7 linked regions of the Rattus norvegicus genome follow. The protein of the gene in region 3 purifies or fractionates together with the protein of the main gene of each other region. This does not show direct contact. Links are inferred from orthologs where the notes say so. Each region holds a gene or a part of one and is shown on either strand. Other genes may lie near its edges.

Evidence for each region.
Region 1: the proteins of Mepce (region 3) and Mettl16 purify together in Homo sapiens (affinity purification with mass spectrometry; 3 studies listed by BioGRID). This does not show direct contact. The link is inferred for Rattus norvegicus from reciprocal best matches to the Homo sapiens genes MEPCE and METTL16.
Region 2: the proteins of Mepce (region 3) and Hnrnpul2 purify together in Homo sapiens (affinity purification with mass spectrometry; 3 studies listed by BioGRID and IntAct, with this or other methods). This does not show direct contact. The link is inferred for Rattus norvegicus from reciprocal best matches to the Homo sapiens genes MEPCE and HNRNPUL2.
Region 4: the proteins of Mepce (region 3) and Lsm3 purify together in Homo sapiens (affinity purification with mass spectrometry; 3 studies listed by BioGRID and IntAct, with this or other methods). This does not show direct contact. The link is inferred for Rattus norvegicus from reciprocal best matches to the Homo sapiens genes MEPCE and LSM3.
Region 5: the proteins of Mepce (region 3) and Lsm4 purify together in Homo sapiens (affinity purification with mass spectrometry; 3 studies listed by BioGRID and IntAct, with this or other methods). This does not show direct contact. The link is inferred for Rattus norvegicus from reciprocal best matches to the Homo sapiens genes MEPCE and LSM4.
Region 6: the proteins of Mepce (region 3) and Ccnt1 purify together in Homo sapiens (affinity purification with mass spectrometry; 3 studies listed by BioGRID and IntAct, with this or other methods). This does not show direct contact. The link is inferred for Rattus norvegicus from reciprocal best matches to the Homo sapiens genes MEPCE and CCNT1.
Region 7: the proteins of Mepce (region 3) and Cdk9 purify together in Homo sapiens (affinity purification with mass spectrometry; 10 studies listed by BioGRID and IntAct, counting the BioPlex papers as one, with this or other methods). This does not show direct contact. The link is inferred for Rattus norvegicus from reciprocal best matches to the Homo sapiens genes MEPCE and CDK9.

The regions. Positions count from the first base shown.
Region 1 is NC_086028.1:60,180,817-60,184,316, reverse strand, and holds part of Mettl16 (RNA N6-adenosine-methyltransferase METTL16), read right to left. Parts: intron 737-3,500; coding exon 563-736; intron 424-562; coding exon 1-423. UniProt on the Homo sapiens protein: RNA N6-methyltransferase that methylates adenosine residues at the N(6) position of a subset of RNAs and is involved in S-adenosyl-L-methionine homeostasis by regulating expression of MAT2A transcripts.
Region 2 is NC_086019.1:215,141,604-215,145,549, forward strand, and holds the start of Hnrnpul2 (heterogeneous nuclear ribonucleoprotein U-like protein 2), read left to right. Parts: upstream 1-1,146; 5' UTR 1,147-1,239; coding exon 1,240-1,771; intron 1,772-3,943; coding exon 3,944-3,946.
Region 3 is NC_086030.1:24,547,441-24,551,395, reverse strand, and holds the start of Mepce (7SK snRNA methylphosphate capping enzyme), read right to left. Parts: upstream 2,801-3,955; 5' UTR 2,210-2,800; coding exon 626-2,209; intron 1-625. UniProt on the Homo sapiens protein: S-adenosyl-L-methionine-dependent methyltransferase that adds a methylphosphate cap at the 5'-end of 7SK snRNA (7SK RNA), leading to stabilize it.
Region 4 is NC_086022.1:125,577,018-125,580,984, reverse strand, and holds the start of Lsm3 (U6 snRNA-associated Sm-like protein LSm3), read right to left. Parts: upstream 2,801-3,967; 5' UTR 2,701-2,800; coding exon 2,680-2,700; intron 1,999-2,679; coding exon 1,888-1,998; intron 1-1,887. Other genes in the region: Xpc (DNA repair protein complementing XP-C cells), read left to right, coding at 2,960-3,053. UniProt on the Homo sapiens protein: Plays a role in pre-mRNA splicing as component of the U4/U6-U5 tri-snRNP complex that is involved in spliceosome assembly, and as component of the precatalytic spliceosome (spliceosome B complex).
Region 5 is NC_086034.1:18,792,057-18,796,302, forward strand, and holds the start of Lsm4 (U6 snRNA-associated Sm-like protein LSm4), read right to left. Parts: upstream 2,801-4,246; 5' UTR 2,726-2,800; coding exon of another isoform or gene 2,642-2,725; coding exon 2,639-2,641; intron 1-2,638. UniProt on the Homo sapiens protein: Plays a role in pre-mRNA splicing as component of the U4/U6-U5 tri-snRNP complex that is involved in spliceosome assembly, and as component of the precatalytic spliceosome (spliceosome B complex).
Region 6 is NC_086025.1:131,594,139-131,598,110, forward strand, and holds the start of Ccnt1 (cyclin-T1), read right to left. Parts: upstream 2,801-3,972; 5' UTR 2,711-2,800; coding exon 2,550-2,710; intron 47-2,549; coding exon 1-46. UniProt on the Homo sapiens protein: Regulatory subunit of the cyclin-dependent kinase pair (CDK9/cyclin-T1) complex, also called positive transcription elongation factor B (P-TEFb), which facilitates the transition from abortive to productive elongation by phosphorylating the CTD (C-terminal domain) of the large subunit of RNA polymerase II (RNA Pol II).
Region 7 is NC_086021.1:36,396,217-36,400,363, reverse strand, and holds the start of Cdk9 (cyclin-dependent kinase 9), read left to right. Parts: upstream 1-1,347; 5' UTR 1,348-1,391; coding exon 1,392-1,483; intron 1,484-1,931; coding exon 1,932-2,013; intron 2,014-3,327; coding exon 3,328-3,418; intron 3,419-3,796; coding exon 3,797-3,963; intron 3,964-4,074; coding exon 4,075-4,147. UniProt on the Homo sapiens protein: Protein kinase involved in the regulation of transcription.

The sequences.
Region 1 (3,500 bases), on a different chromosome or scaffold from region 3:
CTTCTCAGAAGCCTCTCCGTCCTGGGCTCCATTGCTGGAGCCTTTACAACTTTCCATGGCCTCCATCCCTCCCCTTTCCTCATCCCTTTCATCCTCCATAGCTTCCGGTGTTTCCTCCTGGCACAGTAACTTCTGGCTGAAGCAATGGCCACCAACAGCAGCAGACTCGCCTTCCGGCACATCAAGTCCACACAAGGCACTCTCTTGGAGGCAATGGGTCATGTCTTGGCCACTACTCAGCTCTTTGGGAGTGGACTTTCTCTCTTCCAAGGCTAAGATGACATCCTCAGGAGCCCGAGGCACCTCCCGCAGCTGCCTCACTCGCTCTCTTCTCTTCCGCCTTAAATGAATCCACGAGTTTTCTATGGCTGTCAGGAAAAGGCTAACTTCTTCTCTTCCACAGGGAATCCGCTTATGTTGCACCTATGAGGAAGGAAAAACAGAATTTTATAGGAAATCACCTGTCACTATTTATCAAACTCCTTCAATAAAAAACAAACATACAAACAAAACCCTGTAAAGGTCATGTAGGTAAAGTTTCGTCAGTGCACTGGCCACACACCTTCAGATCAGTGAGGATTTTTTCTATCCATGTTGTTACAACCACTATGCCTTCCACTGTCTCGGAGCCCAAAGATGAGGCTTTGAGGGATAACTCTTTCATCACAGACCCCAACACTACAAAAGTAATGGGTTTCCTTGGCTTTTCCAATTTTCTTCGTTTACTTGGAGGTGACTGAAAGAAAAAAGAAGAAAGTTATCCCAACTTTAAAGAAAGTACACTACAGTGGACACAAGCAGGGACCTTTTCAGGGTTTCTGCTCCCAACCACAGGACCCGAAATATGAAGGCTTTTGTGCATGTCATTTCCAGTGCTGGAGCCAGCTCTGGAAGAAAGCTTTCCACTTCCTTCACCTTACAAAAGAAAACTACGACAAGCTATGTCATTATAGCTCAGACTCATACTTTGTAATGGCAGGTTGGGATTCAAACTCCAAATCCAAATTCTTCAAAACCTATCACCTTGCTAGACTCCAGCTACCAGTACAGACATTCTCTACACTAAACCACCTTTCCATCTATGGCGCCCAAGCATGCCCATAATCAACTGCACAGGGGCAGGAGTGACAGCACAGTTTGTAAAGTGTTTAGCACGAAAGCCTTAAGATGTACATCTGATCCCAAGGGTCATTATTAAAAAAAACAAAACAAAAAATCAAAAAAACAAAAAAACAAAAAAACAAAAAAAACCACCAGCCAGGAATGGCCGGGCCACTGAGAATCACATGGGTGGAAGAAGTTGGGCCTGTGAACTGGGGATGGAGGATACCGGCACCAATGAGAACACTACATTTGAAAGCCAGGGCCGGGGCTGGGGATTTAGCTCAGTGGTAGAGCGCTTGCCTAGGAAGCGAAAGGCCCTGGGTTCGGTCCCCAGCTCCGAAAAAAAGAACCACACACACACACACACACACACACACAAAAAAAAAAAAAAAAAAAAAAAGGAAGCCAGGGCCGTGGGCATCCAGATCACCTTCTAACTTTCTACCTAGGGCTTAAGCAGACTGCAACCCACCCACTGGAGGGACCCAAGTGCTACTTAAAGCATCAAAAGTAACACGACAGCAATTACATTATTTCTTTAAAGTTAAACTCTCTACAGAACTCTTCAGTTATATTTAGCTAAGAATACACACATGTCCCTTTCCTTTGGGGGAAGGGACAGTGCTGTTTTACTGTGTTGCTTTGGCTGGCCTAGAACTCAGAGAGATCCAACTGCCTGTCTTCCTGAGTAAAGACTGGGAGTGGTTGCCAGATACACTTTTTTTTTTCCCTTTTCTTTTTTTCGGAGCTGGGGACAGAACCCAGGGCCTTGCACTTGCTAGGCAATCGCTCTACCACTGAGCTAAATCCCCAACCCCACCAGATACACTTTTATACAGATTTGTGCTAATCAATAAAAGTAAAAACATTTAAAAATTAAGACACATACAGAGTGACCAGGAGACAATACTAAAGAAAAGTTCAAAGAGAGAAGCAAGTGGAAGACCGTTTCCTGTGAACAAGTACCCCAAGAACTGTGCTGCCCTAGCTCCAGTTTTCCCTGGCAACACCCACAAGGCCCGTGCACACACACGCAAGTAAAGGTTTGTCACATTAACCAGTGACCTCACACTGAAGACACTTAGAAAACAGCCAGTGGCTTCTATGCAAGGAAACATGTAAAGTGATGTCAGAAACATTTTTCTAAGAAACAACCTTCTAATTTCTTTTCTGGCAACTGGGGACAGACAAAAGCTATGGATCAAACCCAGGGCCTTGCATATGAGTGCTCTATTACTGAACTATATCCCTAGTCCTGTTATTTCTCCACACTAGAATTAACCAATAAGATTTCAGATAAGCTGGGTGGTAGTGGCACATGCCTTTAAGTCCAGCACTGCAGAGGCAAGGGCAGGGGATTTCTGAGTTCAAGGTCAGTTTGGTCTACTGAGCGAGTTTCACGACTGCCAGGGATACACAGAAAAAGCCCTGTCTCCAAAAACCACACACACACACACACACACACACACACACACACACACACACACACACACACAACACACCTGGGGGGGCAGCACAGGTATGTGTGTGTATGTGCACATGTGCAAGGGGAGGCTTGAGGGGGATGAAGTAGAGATGGGAGAGGCAGTAACAAAAACAACAAATCAGAAAAATACCAAATGCACCCGGAATCAAAGCCTCAGGAGGATGAGACAAAAATCACAAGTTTGAGGCTTGCCAGAGCTATATACCCTGAATCCTGTCTCAAGATGAAAACAAAAGCAGCACAATGGTTGTACGTGTGTAGGAGAAACTACCCTCAGAATCAGTAGATCCTCATTCCTTTAGGTTTCAGACAAGATGAGGGAGTTCAGAGTAGCACGAAGACAGTACCTCAGAGTAGCACGAAGACAGTACCTCAGAGTAGCACGAAGACAGTACCTCAGAGCAGCACGAAGACAGTACCACTGTTACCCATGAGAACAGACAGGGTTCCTACAGAAGACTGAGAGCCAAACACACAGGGACCCTGACATGAGGCTGCTATTAAGCTGGGAGAAGAAAGACAATGGCACACAGAATGACGAGGGACAAAAGTGGGACTTTACACTGCTCTGCACAACATCCACAGCCACAGCAGGACAGGGCTGTCCTAACAGCCTACCCCGTACACTACAAGAATGGCAAAAAGGACAGTCACACACCATCTTTTCTGACAGTCATCTTTTGTGCTGAGTAATCTCCAGTGAAGATCCTGTCATTTCTCCTCTGCTATGGGGGAGCTGCTCTGCTCTGTTATTCTTTGAAAGTTAACAGTGAACTCCATCATTTTTAGAAATTAAAAGAGATTAAGTTCTGCCCAGATGTGGTGGCAAACTCCTTTAGTCCCAGCACTTGGGAGGCAGAGGAAGACAGATCTTTGAGTTCATGGCTAGCCTAGTCTTTAGAGTGAATTA
Region 2 (3,946 bases), on a different chromosome or scaffold from region 3:
GACCTGGAAGAAGATGGAGTAGGCGGGAACAACTGAAACAAGTCAAAAAGGCTTCGCTCCTTTCCAACCTTTTTATTTGTCCTTATCCAACAAACATTTGCTGATGGTTCTGCTGTTATTGAGGAACCGAAGTGAGTGAGGCCTGAGTCTCCAGTCCACAGGTGAAGAAAAACAGGCCGTAAGTACCGTGCCCAACAACAGCGCCACAGCAGAGGCCCAAGCCCGGAAGACTCCTCCAGGAATTCGGCCTAAGTGCAGGAGCACTGAGAGGAAAAGAGCAGACTGGCCAGCAGTTTAGCATCTAATGGGGCGCGCGCATTGCGTCATACCACCCAATCAGAATGGAGTCTAGAAAAGTAATCCCGCAGAACCGGCCCCGCCTCCCCAGCGGACCAACCCGGAAAAAAAAAATTCCCGGCTACTTCTCCAATAGGAAAAAAAGCTGCACGATATCGGATGGCCAATCAGAGCAACAGACTACGATTCAAGCTGGCCAATGAGAGAGGGAAAGGGTGAGGTTGGCGCCTCTGTTGCTGGGTAGATGTTTAAGCACAGAAAGAGGTCCCGACATTGCTCTCTCTCCCTCGGTGCTGAAAAGGTCTTTACTGACTAGCTACGAAAACCCTGCACTACCCATCCCTCCAGCTTGTCTTCGGTTACTAGTCTCAGAAGTAGCAGTCAAAGAATAAGTAAAGGAGGACATCCAGTAAGACCTAAGGTGCTCCGGCAATTGGGAGCAGGCAGGAAGTAAGAGACGTGAGGAGGGCGGGGCCCTGGCGCGACTGCGTAGAGCCTACAACTGAAGTACGGAAAGAGGAGCGCGCGCACGCTTCCGTGCTACGAGGCACTTGAGCCACAGCCAGCCTCAGGCCTCGGTGCGGCTGCGCGGTTATGTCGCCTTCGCTGATTGGCCCGGATCTCTAAGAGGAGGGAGGAGGAGTGAAGGAACTCTGTCGTCCTCGGCGCGCACTACCCGGCAGTGGAGTACTGAATGTCTCGGAAGCTGCTCCTCGCTGTCTTGTTTTGGGCTCAGTGAGCCGAAAGGGGCAGGGCAGGAGGAAGGCGACACAAACACGCCGCGAAAACAGCGCGGTCTCTGCCTCTGTGTGCGTGCGCTTGCTAGCGCGGGCTCAGTGCTGGCGCGGGAGGCGGAGGCGGGCGGCGGCGCCTGCGCGGTCGGGCTCGGTCGACAGTTCGCAGGGGAGGAGGCGGCGGGAGGCGGAGGAGGCGGCGGCGGCGATGGAGGTGAAGCGGCTGAAAGTGACCGAGCTGCGGTCGGAGCTTCAGCGGCGGGGCCTGGATTCGCGCGGCCTCAAAATGGATCTGGCTCAGCGGCTTCAGGAGGCACTGGATGCTGAGATGTTGGAGGACGAGGCTGGCGTTGGTGGGGCCGGGCCCGGCGGGGCCTGCAAGGCGGAGCCTCGGCCTGTGGCCGCGTCGGGCGGAGGCCCGGGCGGGGACGAGGAGGAGGACGACGAGGAGGAGGAGGAGGACGAGGAGGCGCTGCTTGAGGAAGAAGACGAGGAGCCACCACCTGCTCAGGCTTTGGGCCAGGCCGCGCCGCCGCCTCCGGAACCCCCGGAGACGTCAGCCATGGAGGCCGAGCCCGAAGCTTCCGACATACCGGCGGAGGCCACGGCCGGGTCAGGTGGGGTAAATGGTGGCGAAGAGCATGACAACGGCAAGGGGGAGGAAGACGGGCCGGAGGAACGGAGCGGAGACGAGACTCCCGGATCCGAGGCACCGGGTGACAAGGCCGTAGAGGAACAAGGTGAGGAACTGGCAGCAGAGCCCGGCTCCAACCTGCCGGGTGCGTCTCGGATCTAGCACCCCACCCTGCACCACGCTATCTGATTCCTTGTTTGCACTTGCCCGAAAGTGCACTGTTCTAGTGGCTGATGGGTTTCTCCCGGGAAGGTGGCTTTCATCCACTGCCCATCTTTTTGAGGGTTTGGACGTCTTGTCTCTCCGCTGTTTGCAGGAGGGAGGTTCCTGCCTAACGTGGTTCCTTGGTGTTAGTGGATGGGTGTGTGTGTGTACCTGGTGTGTATTGGTGTATTGCTTTCGGACTACCTGTAGATCAATCTTCTGGTGCCCACCCCCACTTTGGCTGAATACCTTTTGCCGAAAATATGCTGGAAAATGTGGCGATCTACAAGGGACCTCAGCCTTCAGCCTACCTGACAGTTCGTTCCTTACCTTAAAAATGTTAAGCAATAAACAGTCCGTGAAATGCTGCTCTGTCAAACCTACGTTAGTCCTCAAAGAGACTGTATATCTAACCTTGTCCCTTCCTGCTTAAGCGGTAGGAGACAGTGTGTGTGTGTGTGTGTGTGTGTGTGTGTGTGTGTGTGTGTGTGTGTGTGTGTGTGAGAGAGAGAGAGAGAGAGAGAGAGAGAGTGAGTGAGTGAGTGTCTCTTGGGTTTAATCATTAACTAGCAAAGAGAAACTCTTAGGCTGGTAACATTTTTAGTAATATGTTAGTTACTTGACTGGGGCTTTTTACTTTGTCCCTGTTGTGTTTTTATTTTAATTGTCCTGCCCAGTCTGTAAATAAGCATATTTATACACTTATTCTACACTGGAGCCTTTAAGGCTCCTAACTTCCTGAGCTGAAATGATTGAGGGATGCTTGTGGTACAAGATTTGTGGAGACTTCCCACAGGAGTTAATGACCTTTATCCTTTTGAAATGTGTGCATGGTTAGAGCTAATCTATAGAGTGTCTTTCAGAGGAAGGAGAGCTGCTTCTGAGTCTACTTTCAAATAGGGGGATTTGTTTGTTTGTTTTGCCTTAGGGCTTTTTGTACTGTTTTTTGTTTTGGCTGTTAGTACTATAAAGTTGAAATGTATTCACAAAGTATAGCGTTTGGAGTTTTGTTGTGTCTGATGTCCTGGGACCGAAATCCTATTACGTAACTCTTAATTTGTGTTATCCCAAATAGCAGATAAAAAGCATTGAAGGATAAGGGAGAGTTTTAGTGGAATTGTTACAAACACGTAAGCCTACAAAACATTAAAGCCTAAGAAAAAACTTCATGTGTTTCCTTGTAAAGAGTGTTGCTGCCAAGTTTGGTGTCACAGGCCTTCAATGCCAGCACTTGAAGGCAGAGGCAGGCAGATCTCTGTTTTAGGCCAGTCTGATCTAAATAATGAGTTTTAGGACAAGCAGAAACTACATAGTGAGACCCTGTCTAGAAAAAAACAACAGTAGCAAAAAAAGAATGTTACTAAATATACAACACCACCTTCCTGCCCCAAACTCCATGCAGTAAAGATGCAGTGTTATTTATGGGTTGCTTGTGACTTAAGAGTTTCTCTGGGTTCAAGTTCCTATTAAAAATACACCTGTCATTGTAAGGCCGTGCATTTTAACGTAGAAAAGGTAGTCTCTTAAAGAAAATGTGAGGGTTCTGTGTCACGTAGCTGCTGAAAAGTGCTAGAAAATAGTCCTTAAGTACTTGCCATGAGAATCGAAATTCACCTATTGGAGTAGATAAATATAGAATCAAAAAATTGCCCAAGGGCTGGAGAGATGGCTCAGTGGTTAAGAGTACCCACTGCTCTTCCAGAGGTCCTGAGTTCAAATCCCAGCAACCACATGGTGGCTCACAACCATCTGTAATGAGATCCGATGCCCTCTTCTAGTGTGTCTGAAGACAGCTATGATGTATATAATAAGTAAATAAACCTAAAAAAAAAAAAGAAAAGAAAAGAAAAATTGCCCAATTTAATTAGCCCATGGTGGTCTTCCCTCCATCTCACCCACCCCACCCCCCGCCCATCTTAACCAATAATTTTGGAAATAAAACATGGGTATAATAGGAACACTGTCTCAATCATATAGCCTCATTTTCCTTAAGTTTACTCAGAGTCTCTTAGTTCTGAGCTCATTCTATGCTCCAAAATAAAAACTACTGATTTTCTTTCCCTCCCTTTTGTAGGAG
Region 3 (3,955 bases):
CTAACAACTGTGTAATGGAGGGAACTAGCATGATGTCAGGCTGGGCACTCGCTCCATGTAGAGCCCTGCCTTCACTGCCCCTTCTCATTGTTCAGTCAGCATGGGAAGACAAGCCCATGAGTTCCTGACCAGTAATTTCAGCAGTCTGTGCTGCATCTGGGGAAAAAAGGCAAATAAAGTCCCTATCAAAGTCCCAAACTACACATATTGGAGTGTTTCCCCTCCCCCAGACACCCAACTTCAGGCTCCCTCAGGAGATTTGAGGACAAGGTTCCATCTGGACTCAACAGGAGAGGTTACCCTCAAGGGAAGCGGATTGTTTGGATTTTAGTCCCAGTTGGAAGCAGAACAAGTCAGCCCCCTATGTTAGGGATGAGATCCTTGTTTGTAGTCATGAGAAAAGACCAGATGTTAGAGCCTGAAGGTAGAGATCCCACTTTCCACGTTATAGGAGCAGAGATAACACACCCAGCAGAGATTCTCTGGCCAATCCAGACTGTTCTCTCCGGGAGATGGTTCTTGTATGAAGGAACAGATGCATGGATATGGCCATCCCCCCCAACACATCCCTACTTAATCTCATCTTCACATTGGGACCCTATTCCAAGAGCCTCTGGACTCTTACCGTGACGAAGACGACATTGTTGGGGAAGACAGATGTGTCCGCTCCATCCAAGGGCAAATGGGGTGCAGCGATGGGACCCCGGCTGGCTGTCAGTGAGGCTGGGAAGCAGCTCCTTTTTCGGACAGTGGTAGTCCCTTCCTCCCCCTCTGTCCCTGGGTCCCCCTCAGAAGTCTGAGCTTGGAGACGAAGCTCCTCGGACAGGTAGTGTCGGATATTTTGGCGGGCAGAGTGGATAAGTCGTGGATCAATGTCCAGCCCCACCATGCGGGCTGGGCCCCACTTGCAGGCAATACTTAGGGTCAGATGGCCAACGTTGCAGCCCAGATCTAGGACGTCCCGGCCTTGAAACCACTCAGGCTTCAATACCCTAAGGCGCATGTCCTCACAGGAAGGATTGCGATAGCCATAGTACTTGCAGTAATTCCCATACTGGAACTTGAGCTGTTGCTTTTTGAAGCCAGTTGCAGGTAGTGGGTGGTGGTGACGGCCTCCCCCACTCCCTCTGCCCTTTTCCTTGGAACCCTGGCTTCCACCCCTAGCCCCTGCCTCTGACTTGCTGGAAGTCCTGCGACGTTTGCGATGTCGGGAGGAGGAGGAAGAGGGTGCAGAGGTAACTGAGGCAGCTGGAGGGGCAGAAAGGGAGCCTGAGGAACCCTGCAGGGCAGACGGAAGGGGAGACACAACTTCATCCCTGCAGTTGATGGCTGTGTTGAGTTCATAGGGTTGAGGGTCATCTCGGTTCTGGCCTCTGTGCTGCTGCGTAGCACCCTCCCCATGGACTGAGGGTGTGAGAGGGTCAGTGGGCAGCACAGCTTGGCTATCATTCCCTCCAGATGCCTGCTGCTGCTGGTGGTGCGGTCCCCGGTGTCTATGGCGCTTGCGACCAATCTTGAGTGGTGAAGCAAGCACTACATGGGCTTCATCAGTGCACGTGTTGAGACTGAGTGGGTCAGTGATATCTTTTGGGATGAGGATCTCCACAGGGTCTCTCCCCTTGGCCGGAAGTGGGGATGACTTTGGGGTCTCCGCATTGAGTGCGCGACTCACTTCCTCATCCAGGAGGCTATTCAGGTTCAGTGGATCAAATATATTACCCCCCAGAAGGAAATTGGATGGTAACACGGAGTCGCAGTCCGAATTCACTCGCCGGCGCCTCTTGAAGGCCGGATGTTTGAAGCTTCCACCGCTCCCTCCCCCCACGTTACAGCTATTTCTTCTTTTGCCCCCACCACCCACTGGGGGTCGGTGGGGCTGGTAGCCATTGCGAGGTCGAGGAGGGGCTGGGGGACCCAGGTCCGTCCCGCCCCCTCCCCGGCGCTCCTCCCCCACGTCCGCAGGAGCGGCAGCTCGCCCGTGGGGCTCCCCATGCGTCTGTGCCTGGGGGCCGCCCCCTCCGCTGGCTGTGGCCCCGGCCGAGTGCGCGCGTGGGCCCGGCCCGCGTTCTGTCCCGTCGAGGAGCTCCCCGGAGGCAGCCTCTTGGTGCGATCGCACCTCGGGGCCGCCCCCTCCACCCGACTCATCTTTGAGCGGCGGCGGTGGGGCTGGCACCAGAAAGGGCTCCTTCTCCGCCGCCATCTCGATCATCTCCTCTCCCTGTTTAATTTCCCCTTCCCAAGCGAGGGTACTGAGAAGAGATCAAGGGGAAGCCCCCCTGTAACCCTTCCTAAGACCACCTCACTCCCTCCTTCCCCGAGTGCGCGCGCAGCTCTGCCTCGCGCCCAAGCGCCTCCACCTCCCTCCCGCAACACACCAAGCGCGCTCCACTCGCCCGCGAGACCAAAACAAGATGCCCGCGAGACCCGGACAAGCCGAGGAACCAACTGCGCGTGCGCTGACACCCTTTTCTCCGCCGCCTCTACCACTCTGCCGCGAGCGCGCACGACGGGCGCGCGTTCCGCTCGCCCAGGACCCACGCATGCGCGCTCCGCCACCACCCAGGCTGCGCGCGCATCGGGAGTGCGAACCAACTTAACGGCTCTGAGAGTTTAAATACAGCCCCCCCTCCCTAATAGCCTCACCCTCCCCCAGCCCGAGACGCCCACCGCCCCACACGGACACCCGACTTCCCTTCGCTGCTAAGTCCAAGCCCTACTGATATCCTTTGTCTCTGCTGTGAGATCCCACCCACCGTAGGCGGGGAACGGGAGCTGGTGTGAAAAGGTCTCCTTGACACCCGACCCTTGTTCCTGAGGAATGAGGCTCCGCGGTCTCCGCCCGGCTCTAAACCCAACAACCTCCCTGCCCCGCCTCCTTCCTCCCCCATCCCCGCCCCTCCTAGAGAGCGCCTGCGCACCGTCCTTTTGGGCTTGCGCGGGTTGAAGGGGCAACACGTGCTGGAGATGATGCTCCGCCCCCTCCGTCCTAGGGGCGGGGAGTATGACGTCGTTTCCTTAGGTTAGATGCACGCAGCGTGCGTCAGCACGTTTCCAAGGGTTGTGCATTCCCAGGAAAGGGGCAAGCTCATGAATTATTCATGAGCAATCTAGTCCTTCCCCTCCTTCTTCCCGCCCATCTCATTAGAATTAGAAGGATTTAGGAGAACCTGAGGGGGGAATGATAAAGTAGGCGAAGGAGTCGAGCACACTGTCTCAAGAACTGTTGTCAATTAAATGCAATACATTGTTTAAAATATTCTTCGAATTGAAAACAAGCAAGCACTAAAACATCGAGGCTGTACAAATTCCTCTTCCCCTGAAACGGCCTGGTCGTTCAGGCGACCTCCCTTCCACCAGCGAGGAACATCTAGAGAACCACGCCTTCCTCTCCTCCCTTCACCTACGTCAGGCCTCGGACGCCTCCGCTACAGTGCGGCGCCTGCGCATCAGTCCCCAGCGCGAAGGGTGGCGTTGTTGTTATCGTCAATGCCACCTTTCGCGTTGTGGATTTTACAGCATTATCGCTGCAGCTTTGCTCCACTAGACACACAAGCGAATGTGGGCGGGAACGGGTATCGACCTGTTTTGGGCCTTCTGCTTCGGCCAATGGGAAGCACTGATTCCATGCCGAGTCCCTAGACTGATGGCTGGCGGAGTTTCCCTGTCAGCAGACTATCAGAAAAGAAGCAAGAGGGGGGCCCAAGATGGTCTCAAAATATAAGAGCGTGACGGAAACTAAAAGATAGGGGTCATAACATGGAAACAGGAAGGAGAAGGAGATTTTAGGCAGAGACAAGAACGAAGTGCCTCAGGTGCTCCGCTGCAGCTTATGGGGGGGGGGGGGAATAAAGGCGCCGGCGTGGATTATGGGACTTGTAGTTTCACTAGGCTTTCACTCGGAAGATGGCGAGCTACTCCAGCTGCTCAGACGCAAAAGCGGCTTCCCTCGGCGCAT
Region 4 (3,967 bases), on a different chromosome or scaffold from region 3:
CCCCACCGTATGTATTAAGGTAGTGTCTTTAAGTTGAACGCAAGAGCTTGTTCTGGGGTCTCCACAGGTGTTAGGGATCTAAACTTCAGCACTCAAACTTTACCCACCAATCATCTGTCCCACCTTTACTTTGCCCATTTATAACTTGTCCAGAGCTTAACATGCTTTGGCATCTGTGGGCTCAGGCAGGAAGGATTGCAACCACAGTGTTTAGTGCAACCTCCAAAGTTCATCCCTTTTACTAACAGCAAACCTCCTGGGGCTTGTTCAGAACCCACTTATATGTTCTTCTAACAAAGTGCTAAGTGCTTTTGCCTGCTCATATCAAGATTAAAAATAGCCAGGCGCCACATTGAGAAGGAACTGCTTGGCAGCTACACAAATGAGCAAAATGTTCAGCTGGAGAGCAGGGAGGAAACAGAAACCTGGGCCACTTACTACAGAGGTAAGAGCTTCAGACACCTCCAAACTAAAGGCGATGGTCTAGCCTGGGGTCATTCCATGTGCCGAAGAGCCTTTCAATTTAGCTCCATCCCATGTTTCTCACCAAACTGGCACCGCTGTTTCCCTAATGCTGGCTTGTAGATCAACAGTCCAATTTCCTTCCAAGTCACAGAGGTTCTTTATCCTCAGGTTTCATGAAAGAACTAAAAATTTCTTCATAGAAGAAAGACTGAGACTGTCCCCCACACTGGCTCTGTGGGTGCCAGTATGGGGCTATTTCTAAGCCTGAACTAAAAAGACTTAATTCCAATTCCCGTTGTAAACCAACAGCTCTGAGGAAAGTAACAAGAAGAGACAAAACCCTAAGTGCACAATAATGCTACTTCAAGGGACCAATTCCACAGGCATCATAAATGTGCACAAGCAATATATGTAAAAGTGCACAATGCAGTTTTAAGGCTGGAAAAACAAAAAAGTGACCGAAGCCTTATAGAGAATCCTGGGCAACTGTGTCAGCTGCATAATCATTCCACACAGAAACCGTGTGGAAAAGGTGTGTACATACCAGACAAGGTTTCACTATGTAGTCCAGACTGGCCTCAAATATATGACCTTCCTACCTCAGTCATCTAAGTACTGGAATTATGGGCACATGCCACCGTACCTCACTAGGATCCTCCTTCAAACACAGACAGCATATACACATGCAGAAAAGATGTGGACGACTATGTAGCCAACTTTGAATAGTGCAGAGAAAATGGAATTTCACCTTTAGATTTCTATGGTGTTTAATTTTTTTTTGGTAGTGCTAGGGGCTTTGCCACATACTAGGTGAACGATCTCTGGCCTGCTATTTAGTTTTTTTCATGTCAAAGGAGAGTTTTATATGTCGAAAACCAAAACACCCTGTCCAATAACTTTTAAAAACATAGGACAATGGCAAGAGTGGTAGTGCATGTCTAAAATCCCAGTTCTAAGGAGAGAGAGGCAGGAGGATCTTGAGTTTGAAGCTAGCTGGGTTACATAGTATGACCTTGTCTAAAACAAAAAGAAGTTTATTCATTTTAAATAAACAGAGGACAAAGCTGAAGAAAACAAAAGTGTTCTACAGGGTTGTAGAGATGCTCAAATTAAGAGCACTGGTTATCCCTGCAGAGGACCTGAGTTTGGCTCCTAGCAACCACACCAGGCAGCTCACAACTGTCTGTAACTCCAGCTCTGGGCAATCAGATGCCTTGTTCTGGTCTCACAGGAGTCCCATCCCTCTCTAAAAAACATTCTGGTTAAGGAAAAAATATTTTAAAAGCCAATAAAGGAATTTCCAACTCCCAAAAGTCATTGTATAATTAAAAAAAATAAGTTTATGTTGCAGTTCTTATCTGTAAGGAGGTAGGAAGGGATGACAGGGGAGCATCTGGTTTTGAGATAACTTAACAGACTTACATGTAATCTGCCTCGAAGCTCTCGGTCATTTCTCATTTTCACATAAATTCGCTCATCCAAGCTGAGTCTTATAAGATCCAGGGGCTCCTCTACGGTATTGGTGGTCTGTTGCTGATGAGAGAAGAAGGCTTAGTAATGGAACACTGAGGTAGTGTGGTGTTTCAATCACTGTTAAGCAGTGAAAGCAACATGTGGGTGTTGGTACACAGCCAGGGTTGTCTACAAGAGCCAAAAGTGCTCTTAACCACTAAGCCCCAATAAATCCCTATTAAGGAACTTATATTCTAGTTGTGGAACGAACATTTTAAATAAAGAACACATTTAAAACAACATGCTCTGAAGAGAAACACTGTGTGCCAGGTCTTTGCTTGTTTTCTATATACTACATCTCTAGCAGTTTCTCTATCTCACATAACTGCACCTTTTATCTGACCTCCCCTCGTAACACACTCCAAGTGAGCCACTGCCTGCGTGCCAGGTGCTTACACGTATTACTATGCTGGTGTCCTACCGCTACAGTACTCTTTCTGTCGGAATCCCGACCGTATCTCCCATAGATGGGATATCCACAGCCGTCTGCATTCTACAGAGAAAGGGCGACGACGAGCGAGATGGGCAGATGGGCGGGTTGAGAAACTCTGGGCCTACGGAAGTTTTAGGAGCAGGCCTGGCTGCGGAAGGCCGTGGGAACTCGGGAAAAAGAAAAGGGCCATTCCACGGGAAGCGTGGAAAAAGCAAGCCCGGCTAAGAAACGAAAGCACTTCCTCTTCGGACGCCCCAGGACAAACTTACCTGATCTACGTCGTCCGCCATGTTTCAAACGCTGCGCCCTTTCCACCTCTCGCGAGAGCAGACACTAGGAAACGTTGGGCCGCCACGCACTGGAAGGCGAACTACACTATTTTTGTCCCTTCGCGCCCTTGTAGTTTGCATGGGGGCGGGATTTTTTGGAGGGCGTGGTCCTATCCGGAGCTGGGGGTGCGGCCAGGCATGGCACGCCTCGGGGCGGAGCCGGCACGCGGAGACTTTCGGCAGTCCTGCGTGGTTGTCCGGAGGAACGCCTCTGGCTAGCATGGCCCGAAAGCGTACCGCAGGCGGAAAGCGGAGGAAGCGCGGCCAGGAAGCCGAGGACAACAAAGCAACCCGGCCTGAGGAGAGCGATGCGGGTGAGAGGCCAAGTCTGCAGCATGTCAGGCGATGGTGGCGGAGGCTGGGGCGGGCGGCGGAGCGGATCTGTGTCTACCGCAAGGTCTTTACGGCCCGATGCGTCCCCCCTCCAGCCCCCGAGGGCCTCTGCTATCTGTCTTAACCCCTCGGTTAACCTTTAGTACCAAGTTCAGCCCCATAGCAAGTGTTGAAGGCCGAGCTGGAGAAAGCTTCGCAATTGCCTGGTATCTCAGGAGATGCCAAAAACCAGGACCGAGGGAGACCTGTAGTGAGAGATCTCTCTCATCAAGTTCCTGACTGCCATCCAGTGTAACTCCAGCTCCGGGTTTTTAGGATGCGCTTTCTGTTACTCTTGTTTTTTGCTTTGTTTTTCCAGACAGGGTTTCTCTGTGTAGACCTAGCTGTCCTGGAACTTGCTTTGTAGACCAGGTTGGCCTCAAACTCAGAGATCCGCCTGTCTCTGCCTCCCTAGTGCTGGGATTAACCGGCATGCACCATTACGCCCTGGCTGGAATGAGTTTTTAATCTAGATCTTGAACAAGATCCATCTTTCCCCTTAAACATATCCATCCCCCCAGTTGTTCTATTTCAATAAATCATCCCTTTTAAAACACACGTTAGAACACATCTCTTCTTAACTGCCAGTTCGGCATCAAGTCCAGTTCAGCTTTGGAACCACCGAAATCTGTACTTAATTCTCTTAATTTTATAGCTAGAGATCTTGTCCATATCGTTAAGGAAATGAACTTCAGGTTGCTTCTTTTCTGGCTTCCTCTCATCTGTCTGCCCCATCATCTAGCAGCCAAATGGATGTAGAACCACAACAAAACCTTATGCCTCTGTCTTCTTACTTAAAACCTCCTTAGGTTTATGCTCTCCAAGTATAGCATCTACCTCTCTTAGCTTGTTTCCC
Region 5 (4,246 bases), on a different chromosome or scaffold from region 3:
CATTAGACATGTCTCCAAAATTCACCCAAAAATCAAAATACAGCCAGGCACTTAATTTTTGCACTGAGGGGCAGAGGCAGGAGGATCTAAGTTCCAGGGTAACTGGGTCACACAGCAAAACAAACAAACAAACAACAACAACAACAATATCACAAGGGGCTGGAGACAGGGCTCAGTGGTTGAGAGCACAGCTGCTCTTCTGGATGACCTGGGTTCAATTCCCAGCACCCACATGGTAGCTCACAAATGCCTATAACTCCAGTTCCAGGGGAACCAACACACTCACAGAGACATGCACGCAGGCAAAACACCAATGCACATGAAATAAAAATAAATCATTTAAAACAGAAGAAACAAACATCAAGGACTCAGATCCTCGGGGCCATCGTGCCCAGCCTGGTGACTCTGGGTCACGAGAGGGCTGGGGGAGCCTGCAGCACAGGGCCCTTCCTGAGAAGAGCTAGGGGTGGGGGTGGGGGTTCAGTGGCAGGAAGTGAGGCTGGAGCCCATTTCCTGCAGAGACTTCCTGAAAGGGTAGGAGGCAGAGGATGGCTTCTGTGAAAATGGGTGGTGGGAGGGTGGCCTTGGTGATCAGTGACAATGGTGTCCAGTCTGACCCTCAAATAAACAGTGAAAAAGAGGCACAGTCTGGCAGCCTGTGGCTAAGCTCCAGGGAGTTGGAGCCATGGTCATCCTTGGCTACAATGTGAGGTCAGCCTGGGCTACATGAGACCCTGTTTCAATAAAGGAACAAATAGAACAGTCAAACTCCTGAAGACAAGGCACAGCAAAGGCTCAGGGGCAAACATCACTAAACAAGAACAGGCGCACATACACAGCTCTTCTGGAGCTGTTATGGCCAGCACAGGCTAGTCTGGCTGTGAGGCAGCCATGGTAAGGTCCAGCCTACTACTGAGCTTTTGTCCCTCCTGCCCGGGCCCCAGCCACCTCCCAGGGTGCCCTTCCCCAGACTTTCTTTGCCCAATCCTGCTGAGCATGTCCCCTCCTGTGACTAGGCCCCTAATGGCCACCCTGGGCTGCCAGCCTGTTTCCACCCACCACAGCAGGGGCCGCTCTCTAATTACAGGGTGATCAGCACCAGTCTCCCTGGCTAGACAGAAGGTCAGTGTGGGCGCGGGCTCTCCTGCAGCAGGGAGGGGCAGTAAACACTTGCTGAACAGGCAGGGTGGAGATACCCAGCACAGGTGCATCCTGTCCAGAGCCACAGGTAAGTGTGGTGTAGGGACAGGCCGCCACCCCCAGATCTGCGCATGCAGTGGGATACAGAGGAATGGAAGGAATGGGGTTCATAGAGAAGTAATTAGTCCGTGCTCCAGCTGGGCAGGCCTCCCAAAACGAAGGAAAAAAAGCTCAGAGTGAAACGGGCCAGGGTGGACAGGGAGGGTGGAGCTGGGATAGTCACAGGCTTTTGAGTGGGGAGATACAGCTTTACACTGAGCACCTGCACCTGCAGGTGTTATGGCCACTGGCTCTGGGCTCCAGTCCCAGCACCTCCCATCAGAGGAGCAGTTTCAGGAAAGGAAATTCCTTCTCAGCCACCCTCCAGCCTCTCTGGGATCCAGCGTGTAGATGAGACGGCTGGAGGATCAAGCCTTGGGCTCCGAATTCAGAAACTTTCGGCTGGGACACTCCTGTACCAGCTGGGCCGCAGAGATATGGGAGTGTCTGTGCGTACCTGCGTGGAGAGGGTGTCCAGTCCTGGACACACCTGGCCATCCCTTCAGGGAGGCTCAGAGGCTGGGCGGGTGCTTTATGGTGGGAATAGACTGAAGGAGTCTCAGGGGCTCAGGGTACACCTAGTGGGGAGTGCTTACACAGCATGTGTTAGGCCCTGAGGTCCTGCACCACAAAACCCAGGGTCGCTCTGGAGTAAAGGCAGGATCAGGAGTTCAGTCATACGTGATTACAAAGGAAGTTCAAAAGCAGCCTGGGCTATATGAGATCTGCCTCCCGTCCTAACCCAAACATGGAGGTATACACGTGTCCTTTCCATACTCCACTGATTGAAGCAAGAGGATGAGTTTGAGGCTAGCCTGGATTACGTTAAGTTCAGATCAGAAAGCCTAACCAAAAAACAAAACCAAATATTCTACCATCAAGAACTGAGATGGGCATGTCCAGCTCTCCCAACTTGGGCCAACGCGCCCCTCGATAGAGCAGCAGGGAAACCTGGCCTCCTCTATTCCATCATGTCAGGTCCCACAACTGGGAAGGCCTGAGCCTGAACTAGGAGAAAAAATTTCCTTCCTCCCGAGCAGGACCTGCTATGTGTCCAAGGGAGAGAAACATCCCTCAATCTGGGTTGGACTTTCGGCCAAAGGCGTAGGCAGCTGAGGTCAGACACTTGATAAGCATCAAGTGGGCAATGGAACCCACGTGAGCCCTTAGGTCCGCCCACTTCCCGGAAACGCAGCAATCCTATCAAAAACGGTGACAAGCTCCGGAAGCGATCATAGTCCTTCCGGCCGCAAAAAACCTTGTCCATTCAAGAGATAAATCCGCAACGGTGGCGGACTGGGACCCTAGAGAGACACTGGTCACCTCCGGCCTCAGGTTTCCCCATCTCTCAGCAGCCCGAAGACCCTGAGCGCGCGCCCCGCCGCCTCGCGGCCCTCACCATCTTCCCTGCAGAGATAACTTCCGCCGCTGCACAGCCACTCGCACTCCCACCGGCAGTCTACCGCGCGCTCCAGCCTGAAAAAGACTGGCAGAAACTATAACCAATCAGCGAGTGACTAAATGGACCGATCCAATCGGAACGGGATAAGGCGGTGCCTACATAACGCGGCGGCGTATCGCGTCGTATTCCCACCGTGGGATTGAGGAGCGGCCGTAAAGCGTGACACCGGAGTGACGCAAAAGGCCGCGGTGCTCTTCATGCCCACTCATGGTGTATGTTGGGAAATGGCGCCTGCGCAGATGTGCACTCCTGACTGGTTCGGCGCCACACTGTGGGCGAAACTGGCTAATGCATGTGAATCGCGCTGGGCTGGGGAAACCCGCTTCATACCCTCTTCGCGCTCCTATCTTTCCGTCCTCGCCCTTATGGAGCTCTTTCTCTTTATCAATCCAAATATAATCCTTGAACGCGAACGTCAGGGCCAGCGTTCCCCGGCGACAGGAAACAAATCGCTGGAATTTTCGTGTTTTGAGATGGGTTCTTGTGGCAGCTGAAGCTGATCATGAACTCGCAATAGCCTGGTACGCAACTTCTTCAGTGCTGGCATGGCCGCTGTAGGCTACCAAGCCAGCACCTTGTTTTTTTGTTTTTGTTTTTGTTTTTTTTTAATCGTTATCATTTTGGGAAGAGGTTAGGGTTTCTCTGTGCAGCCCTAACCGGCCTGGAACACTCAGTGTTGACCAGGCTGGTCTCAAACTTCCTGAGATCTTGGTGCTGGGATTGCAGGTGTGTTTTAATCTGTCGTCTTGAGATACAAAGTTAGGTTCTCATGCTTGCCCAGTGTTAGGGTCCATGATTCGCCACCGAAGAATGATACCGTGGATTCAAATAGTATGTAAAGGCAATGAATGTTTTATTCTGCAGAAGTCCAGCATGCTGTGGTCTCCCATTACCAGAATAGACACCCAAGTGAACTTGGAAGTCTGATTTAAAGCACATTAGGGAATTCTGGGGTAGGTGACCTCTATGTTAATCTGTTGGGTCCATCTCTACAGACATTCCATTACTGGGGTGTGGGGGCTGGAAACTTACTGGGGAGGGCTGGAAACTGCTGCTGAGGAAGTCTGGAAACTGCTGTTGACCCAGCCATTGTCCTTGCCTCAGGCCAGGTGGCAGGGCAGCTTCTGAGGCCTGGACTTGCCTGGAATTGCCCAGTTCTTGGAAACTGATTTAGGCCTACTCTCCTTAACTGCCAGTTTGAAGTCTGTCATGGAATCAGTCTAGCCTTTTCACCAGTCAGCCTTTTTTACCCATGGATCCAACTCCCCTGCCCTTCTATTTATTTTTATTTCCTTTGGCTACTGGCGATGGAATCGGAGCTCTGCCCTGAGCTGTCCCGAGCAGGACAGCTGTTTTACCAAGCTTCTGGAAGGCCTGGTGCAGAATGTCAGTGATGAGCTCACTTGTACGGTTCCTCTGCCCCAGGAGACTCCCTGGGCGCCACTACCCAGGGCTCTTCTTCTTTTTTTTTTTTTTTTTTTTTTTTTTTGGTTCTTTTTTCCGGAGCTGGGGACCGAACCCAGGGCCTTGCGCTTCCTAGGTAAG
Region 6 (3,972 bases), on a different chromosome or scaffold from region 3:
GAACCGGTGCATGTATACTATGGCAGTATTGATCGTCAGTTGTGAGCTGAAAGTGCTTGAGTTAAGGTTCAAAAACAGACAATATAATCTCCTTCCCAAAGGAACAAATGGCCAAGCACAATAGAAGATCCCACAGGAGAGTGAACTTAACTCTTCCACCCAAGGCAGATCAGTTTGCCTTCACTAACTTAGAGGGACAGCATGTGCTCTGCCTTACAGGTGCTTACTATGGACCTAACAAAATAAACAAAACAAGCAGCAAGACGTAAATCAACATACAATGCAGCGCTACATTGGATCTCAGACTTCCTGTCCTGTCACTTGCCTTCTGCAGAGATGATCCTTTAGCTCAGGATAACTTTCTTTACTACATTCACTCTGGGCGGGAGGTGCAGGCCACAGCATGAGTGTGGTGGTCAGAGGGCAACTTGCAGGAGCCGGTTACCTTTCCACCCTGAGTCCCAGGCATAGAATTCAGGTTGTCAGGCTTGTGGATAAGTGCCTTTACCTGCTGGGTCATCTTGCCTGCCCAAGAATAACTTTAAAACGGTTTCTTTTAAAGTGTATCAGCATTTGCCTGATGCACCATGGGCATGTCTGGTGCTCCAGAGGTCAGAAGAGGGCATGAGATTACCCTCAAACTGCAGTTATAGACAACTGTGGCCTGCCATTTGGGCACTGCCTCAACAGTGAGTGCTCTTAACTGCTGAGCCATCTCTCTAGCCCCACCAGCGTAACTTTTTAAGGATATTTACCAGGCCCTCCCTTACTAGGCTCTTGGAACTTTTCTCTCTCCTCTTCAGAACTTCAGTAATTAAGTTTACCAGTTCTACTTTCTTTTCTTTGTGGGGGGTGGGGTGGAGGCAGTGTTCAAGGCAGGATTTTTCTATGAATCCCTGTCTTGAAACTTGCTCTGTAGATCAGGCTGACATCAGAATTAGAGATCTGCTCACCTCCCCATCCAGAGTACCTTTAATGGGATTAAAGGTACACACCACCACACCCTGCTTAGTTCTGATACCTTCAGGAAATAAAGCATGACCTCTGAAGTATAAAACCTTTGAAATGATTTGAAAAAATGGAACTCCTGCCTTCCTCTGGTCCAGTCTTCCATTTGTATAGGCACCATTCCAACCTCCCCAAGAACTTAAGTACTTATCCCCACAGATCTCAGCAACAGTCTGCAGAGAGGTGACAATATGAGGGCAACAAGCTTTTTTTTTTTTTTTCCTTTTTTTTTTTTTCCGGAGCTGGGGACCGAACCCAGGGCCTTGCCCTTGCTAGGCAAGCGCTCTACCACTGAGCTAAATCCCCAACCCCGAGGGCGACAAGCTTAAACACACACTTAAAAGGCGCTGTAAACACACTGGGAAACTGGATTTCAATAGGAAACAATTGGCAATAGAGAAAACACCTATTTGGAACAATACACAACCTTCAGATTTAAACACCACAGACCTAAACTCTGCACCTTTTTTTTTTTTTTTTTTGATACAGGGTCTTACTACGTCCTGCCTCTACTTCCCCAAAGCTCCAATTAAAGGCACTGGACACCAAGACTAGCCCTCAGCATCACTCTTAAATAAATGCTACACAAGTGGAAACTGCAACTAAAAGGAAAAAATATATATACATACATATACATATGTATGTATATATGTATATATGTGTATGTATATATATGTATGTATGTATGTATGTATATATATGTATATATATATGGAGGGGGGCAGGCAGTGGTAAGAACTTTAAAACTACTAATTTTGCCACAAAAGACTACATTTTCATGAGGGAAAAAAACTGGGACAGGAGGGGAAAAAGAATCCACCAAACTACATTATCTCTAAATTGAAAACTGATAAATAAACTGTCACTAGTGCCCTGAAAAACAAGAACTTAATATTCTGAAAACTCTTAAAAGTCTATCAACACATATACCTCCCTACAAACCTAAGTTGACATCTTTCCTTCCTCTTAAATTCTATGAAACAGCTACTGGAACGTTTGAATATCAAGCGTTGTGGTGGACATTGGGGGGACAAAACAAACAATAATTTGACAGGTTAGCCAGCTAGGGAGAGAAATGGGCTTGGAACCAAAACTGGAACACTAATCCTAGACCACCTTCATAAGTCCTTTGAGAATTCCCAGAAACCCTTTTTATACACTTCGGGAGGCAGAGTCGATGGTGAAATGTCTTACATGGAGCCTTAGCTCACGGCAGAAAGGAGACTCTCAAAAGCCACTAAACCAGGGCAGAATTCAGAGAACAGGGGCCGAGGAGGAGTAGCGAAAACACAAAGACAGGAGAGGCACGAATTCGCAGCCCGGCCGGTGGCACCGGTGAGCGAGCGGGAAATTGACTCCGCCTCACTTCCCTCGCGCGAACAGTGGTTCGGCCAGCGCCATTGTGGGCTCTCCCCACTAGACTCCCAGCTCCTGCCACCACCACCACCTTACCCACTTCTGTACCCGCCAGCGTCGCCGGCCCGGACGCCGAAGCATGGCCGGACGCGCTCCGAGGCAGATGGCCTAGGCCGCAAGGATACACGTTAAGACGTTGTCCCATGTCCTGGAGTAGATTGGCCGCCTGCTGGCGATAAGATAGTTCTTTATCTGAGTCCACGCCAAAACGACGCGATGGGCTGTTTTCCAGTTGTTCTCGAGTAAAATACCACCGTTTGTTGTTGTTCTTCCTCTCTCCCTCCATAGTGCTTCAACCAAGAGGCAGCGGCGGGGGCTGCAAGCACTTCCCAGCGTCACCTAAGCGGCGACACACATCCGCCGGGCCCAGACAACTGCGACGTGACGAACTTCCTCCAAGGGTCGACCACCAGGTTGTGACACACTTCCGCTCAGGAAGCCGAAGATTCAAGCGCCTACTTCCGGTATGAACCCTACGACGCCCTGTAGGCGAATCAGCAGCCAGTCCGCGGCCAGGAACGAATAGGAGGCCGGGACTCGGGCGCCGGTAATATGACCCCCCAGTGGGCGGGACTGTCGACGTTGTTCTTTAAAAGTCTCGTGCGTCCGCGCGAGAATTGGGTTAAGGTCGCCTCGCCGGCGGCCCCTGCTTGACTCTTGCTGAGCTCGGCTGGGTCTCTTCCGAGGAGGACGTTCGTGTTGAAGGCCCCTTTGTAGTACGGGGCTTACGGAGCCAGTGGCAGGGAAAATAGGCAAGACTCTCAGAGAACCGAGAAAAGACCGGACAGTGAGTGGCCCTGCCCCGTGTTGGAACGTCGAGGACCCAGCCCGCTTAAAAGCTGCTCTATTTTGTAGCCGACTTTCCTCCGTTTCACTGCAGACAATCAACTGGAAGGAATAAAATCAACGTTACTGACTTCAAGCTTCCACGCCCAAAGGACACGACATATTTTGTTTGGGTGTTGGACTTTGAAGATAAAAGGGTCTTTTTCGCTCTTCATTTTTTTTTTCTTTTTTTCGGAGCTGGGGACGGAACCCAGGGCCTTGCGCTTGCTAGGCAAGCGCTCTACCACTGAGCTAAATCCCCAACCCCGCTCTTCATTTTTTATTTATTTATTTGTCTATTTATTGCAGCCCTGGAACTCAGAAATGCGGCCGGTTTTGCCCAAGTGCTGGGATTAAAGGTGTACACCACCCCTGCCACGCTCTACACTACTCATTGTTTTTATCATTTAGGTCAGGAGGCCTTTTTCTTTTGCATTCTTCCCTCTGGTCGGCGAATGTGATAAGCTTGCCTGCGCAGATTACAATCTTCCAGTCAGGTCCCTAGGCTACGCAAGGGCCCTTGCGGGTCAGGTCAGTAGTTCGAGGAAACCCACCCCTGAGGGAAAGGTTATCAGGTGAAGGAGATCAGGAGATAATTTGTGCACAGCACTGGGAAAGATTATCAAGGGCTGTAAAAAAGCCAGCCGGGGCTGAAGTGTGCCTCAGCCTCCGGTCTACTCCAGGGTGTCTCAGTTCCCAGGCCTCTGTCGCTGAGTTGAACTT
Region 7 (4,147 bases), on a different chromosome or scaffold from region 3:
TCATATTTTTTTTCTGTAAAACCCAGTTCACATGTTTGTTTCAGAATGTCCAGCAGATATCTCTCTCTCTCTCTCTCTCTCTCTGTTATTATTTCCTGGTTGTCCTAGAACTCACTCTGGAGATCAGGCTAGCCTCGAACTCAGAGATCCACCTGCCTCTGCTAAGTGCTGGGATTAAAGAGGTGCGCCATCACTACCCAGCTCATGCCCAGCATTTCAAAAACGCGCAGGAGTGCCTGTTCAATTTTAACCATTTTTGGGATGATTGACGCAGGACAGACCAGCTTAGCCGCAGCTCTGTGAAGGAAGGCAGTAGATCCATCCTTGCCTTCCTGACCACACAGGATCCAGGGTTTAGGCCTGAGCGTCGCCGCGCCCCCTGGCGGCCGTCAGTTGCCATGTCAACGGCGGGTGGCTGAGACGGCGGAGGCGGCAGCGGGGGCAGTTCTCTCTTCCCCGGGCCTCAGGCCGCTCCCTCGGCACCTCCTGCCTTCGCCTCACTGGGAGCACACTCCCAGCCCTGGAAGAAGGGCCCTTCTGTGGCAGCTGGCATTAGGGGGGTAAACTGAGGCACGCAGCAGGGCGCCGCAGGCAGGTGTCTAGTGCGGAGCCCCACCTCCAAACGCAGAGGAGGGGCTGCTAGCAGTGACGCGCCGAGGGCGGACGCTGGACTGGGAGCGGGAGGGCGGGAGGCGGCGGCGGCAGGTGCGGCCGCGGAGGGTGGGAGGAGGAGGGAGGGGGCGGGAGGGGGAGGGGAGGCCAGGACGGGGACCTCCCCCTTTATAACGCGCCCCCTCCCGGGCTCTCGGGCCGCCTCCTCGTCTGCTCTTGCTATCTCGCCCCCTTTCCTGGCCGCCCCGGGCCGGGTTTGGCCAGGGAGCCCCCGCCCCCAGGCCTTCCCCACACCCCCACCCGTCGCCCCGCGCAGCCCGGCGGAGGCGGCGCCGTCGGAGGAGGAGGAGCAGGGCACTGCGGCTGGCCCCGGATCGGGAGCCAGAGCGGCAGCAGCTTCGGCAGCAGCACGGCCCGGGCCAATGCAGCGGGACGCACCGCCACGAGCCCCAGCCCCAGCGCCACGGCTCCCTGCGCCCCCGATCGGGGCCGCCAACAGCACTAGCGGCGGCGGCGCAGGCGGGGGCAGTGGCGGCGGCGGAGGCTCCTCTGCAGCTCCGGCTCCCCCTGGCCTCCCGGGAACTACAAGTCCCAGGGGGCCTGGCGGCGGGCGGAGACCGGAAGAGGCGGGCTCGGCACCTCGAGGCCGGAAGTGGCCTTGGAGGCGGAAGTGGCGCGGCCGCGGAGGGGCCTGGAGTGTGGCGGGACCGGGAGCGGCGGGAGCTGCGGCTGGGGGCGGCGGCGGCGGCGGCGGCGGCGGCGGCGCGCTGGAGGCGGCCATGGCCAAGCAGTACGACTCAGTGGAATGCCCGTTTTGCGATGAGGTCACCAAGTACGAGAAACTTGCCAAGATCGGCCAAGGCACATTCGGGTAAGATTAGGCCGCGTGGGACCGGTAGCCCAGGACCTGCACTTTCCATGGCCTATATCGGGTCGTTCAGGGCCGGGGCCCGAGGTGGTACGGAAGCTTCTATTTCCTTGATTGTTGCCTGGTCTTGCTAGGCCGCGCCGCAGACGCTCCCGGCCTAACCGAGCGGACTGGCAGGGAGGAGCCTGAGGCCCGTGATGGGGGTTGGGTAGGGTTGCTGAGAGGAACTCAGTTTGTGAGCGGACACCTCTGGGGGGAGGAGTGGGAGCCGAGTAGGAGTAAGAGCAGGGGCTGGGAGAAGGACAGAAAACACGTGGTGTGGAATAACAGCTTACAGGAGTCCCGGGCCGCACCCCACCGTGTGTCTGGTCTCCCGCTGCTCCTCTTCGCGTGGGGGAGGGGCGGTCCCTGCGGAAATGCCTGATGGGTCCCTCGGGTCTTTGTGTTGCAGGGAAGTATTTAAAGCCAAGCACCGTCAGACCGGCCAGAAGGTGGCTCTGAAGAAAGTGTTGATGGAGAATGAGAAGGAGGGGGTGAGTATATGGACCACTGGGCAGTTCTTCTAACCTGTGCTCGGTTTCCACACTGCTACTTAAAAGGGTTTTGTGCTGAGATTCCACCCAAGTATTTTTCGATTTTCCGTGTGACAAGACATTTGGCTTTCCACTTAGACTTTTGAGTTTTTGTGGCAAAGTTCGGTGGGAGGCAAGTGAGGGAGCCTGTGCTTTGCGTGAAAGTGCACGTTGCCTCTAGAAGTGGGGTTTTTGAAAACTTCCAGCTTAGCGTCGAATTTTGTTTTGTACGAAGGGACAATTTGTGCACAGGCAATTTAAAAGGCAGCTTAGCTTAAGGCGTGTTTTGAAGCATGATGTCCCCGTCTTAGCTTTAGTACAGCGTTTTCTTTGTAAGGAAAAAGCTGTTTGACTATTTCCTGTCTATGCGTGTCTTGTTTTCTGGTGTGGCTGTGTACAGCATGCCTGTCTGGTACCTGGGCACCTGAGGAGACCATGCTAGGCTGCCTTGGATCACTTGGGACTAGAATTAAAAAGATCCACCATGTAGAGGCTGGGATTGAACCTAGGTCCTCCGGAAGAACAGCCAGTGTTGTATGTGTGTGTGCATGCATATGTGTATGTCTCCCTGAAATAGGGACTCAACATAAGACTTGTTTAATACAAAAATCTCTCAGTATCCCAGCTGTTCTCAGACTCGCAGAGGGTCAACTGCCTGTGCCCGGAGTGCTGGGAATAAAGGCTTGGGCTGCCACTCTTAGCCAGGACTGGTTTGCTTAACTATTCATCTATCTCTGGACCCAGGGAATTTCTTGATTTTAACCCACAAGCATTAGTGCCAAAGATTTTGTCCCTATTTGAGTTGTCTAAAATAAATTCCTGGCCCAGCGTAGAGGGCTATGATTGTAGTTCCAGCATTTACGAGGCCAAAGAAAAAGGATGGTTCACAAGTCCAAAGCCGCCATTGTCTAGATGGCAAAATCTAGCAGCTCCTTGAGTGAGATGTGTGTGTCCTTTCACTTACCTTCTGCTTTACAGAGACTGGTTGCAGATAAATATATTTATTTTCCCCTCAAGCAAGAGCTCAACTAACCAGACTGGCCTTGAACTTGGGACAGTTCTACTCTCTATTTGACTCCTGATAGTAGGATTGGATTCCAGACAGGAACCGTCTGTCACACAAAAACTATACTCTTACCTGCCTTTCAACCTCTGTCCCTCAGTATAGATCACACACACACACACACACACACACACACACACACACACACACACTTTTACTTCATGGGTCTGTTGCTCTCAATTTTGACCACTTCCTCTCTTTCTCCTCCCTAGTTCCCCATCACAGCCTTGCGGGAAATCAAGATTCTACAGCTCCTAAAGCACGAGAATGTGGTCAACCTGATTGAGATTTGTCGAACCAAAGGTACGATGCTCGTTCTCGGGATAAAATGAACCTTAAACCTTTGCTTGCACTCCTGAGGTAAATGTGCTTAATGCCTCCTCCTGACTTGACTTGATCACACAGCTTCCCGATCTGTTTTGTTTTGAGACAGGGTTGCCCTGTGTAGCCCTGGCTGTCCTTGACCTTGCTCCATAGACCAGGCTAGCCTCACACTGCCTCTGCCTCCCTAGTGCTAGGGCTAAAGGCATGCACCACCAGTGACTGACCACCAGCTTCTCCGGGCTTTCTCCGATGGAGTTGGGTGTTTGTGGATTGGAGGGCTGGGAGTTGGCTGTGGAAAATGAGGTGGGTGCAGGTTTTTTATTTTCCCTCCCACCCTCTCTCCCTATTCTGCACCAGCTTCACCCTATAACCGCTGCAAAGGCAGCATCTATCTGGTGTTCGACTTCTGTGAGCATGACCTCGCTGGGCTGCTGAGCAATGTCTTAGTGAAGTTCACGTTGTCTGAGATCAAGAGAGTAATGCAGATGCTGCTGAATGGCCTCTACTACATCCACAGGAACAAGGTGAGGCCTGGGGCCGGGACAGACTGGGGCTTCTTTGCTCTTCACTGCCTTGTGGGTGGGTCTCTGGGATACTATGAGACCTGACCGAGCTCTCATGCGTCCTCCCTGCAGATCCTGCACAGGGACATGAAGGCTGCCAACGTGCTCATTACCCGAGATGGGGTCCTAAAGCTGGCAGATTTTG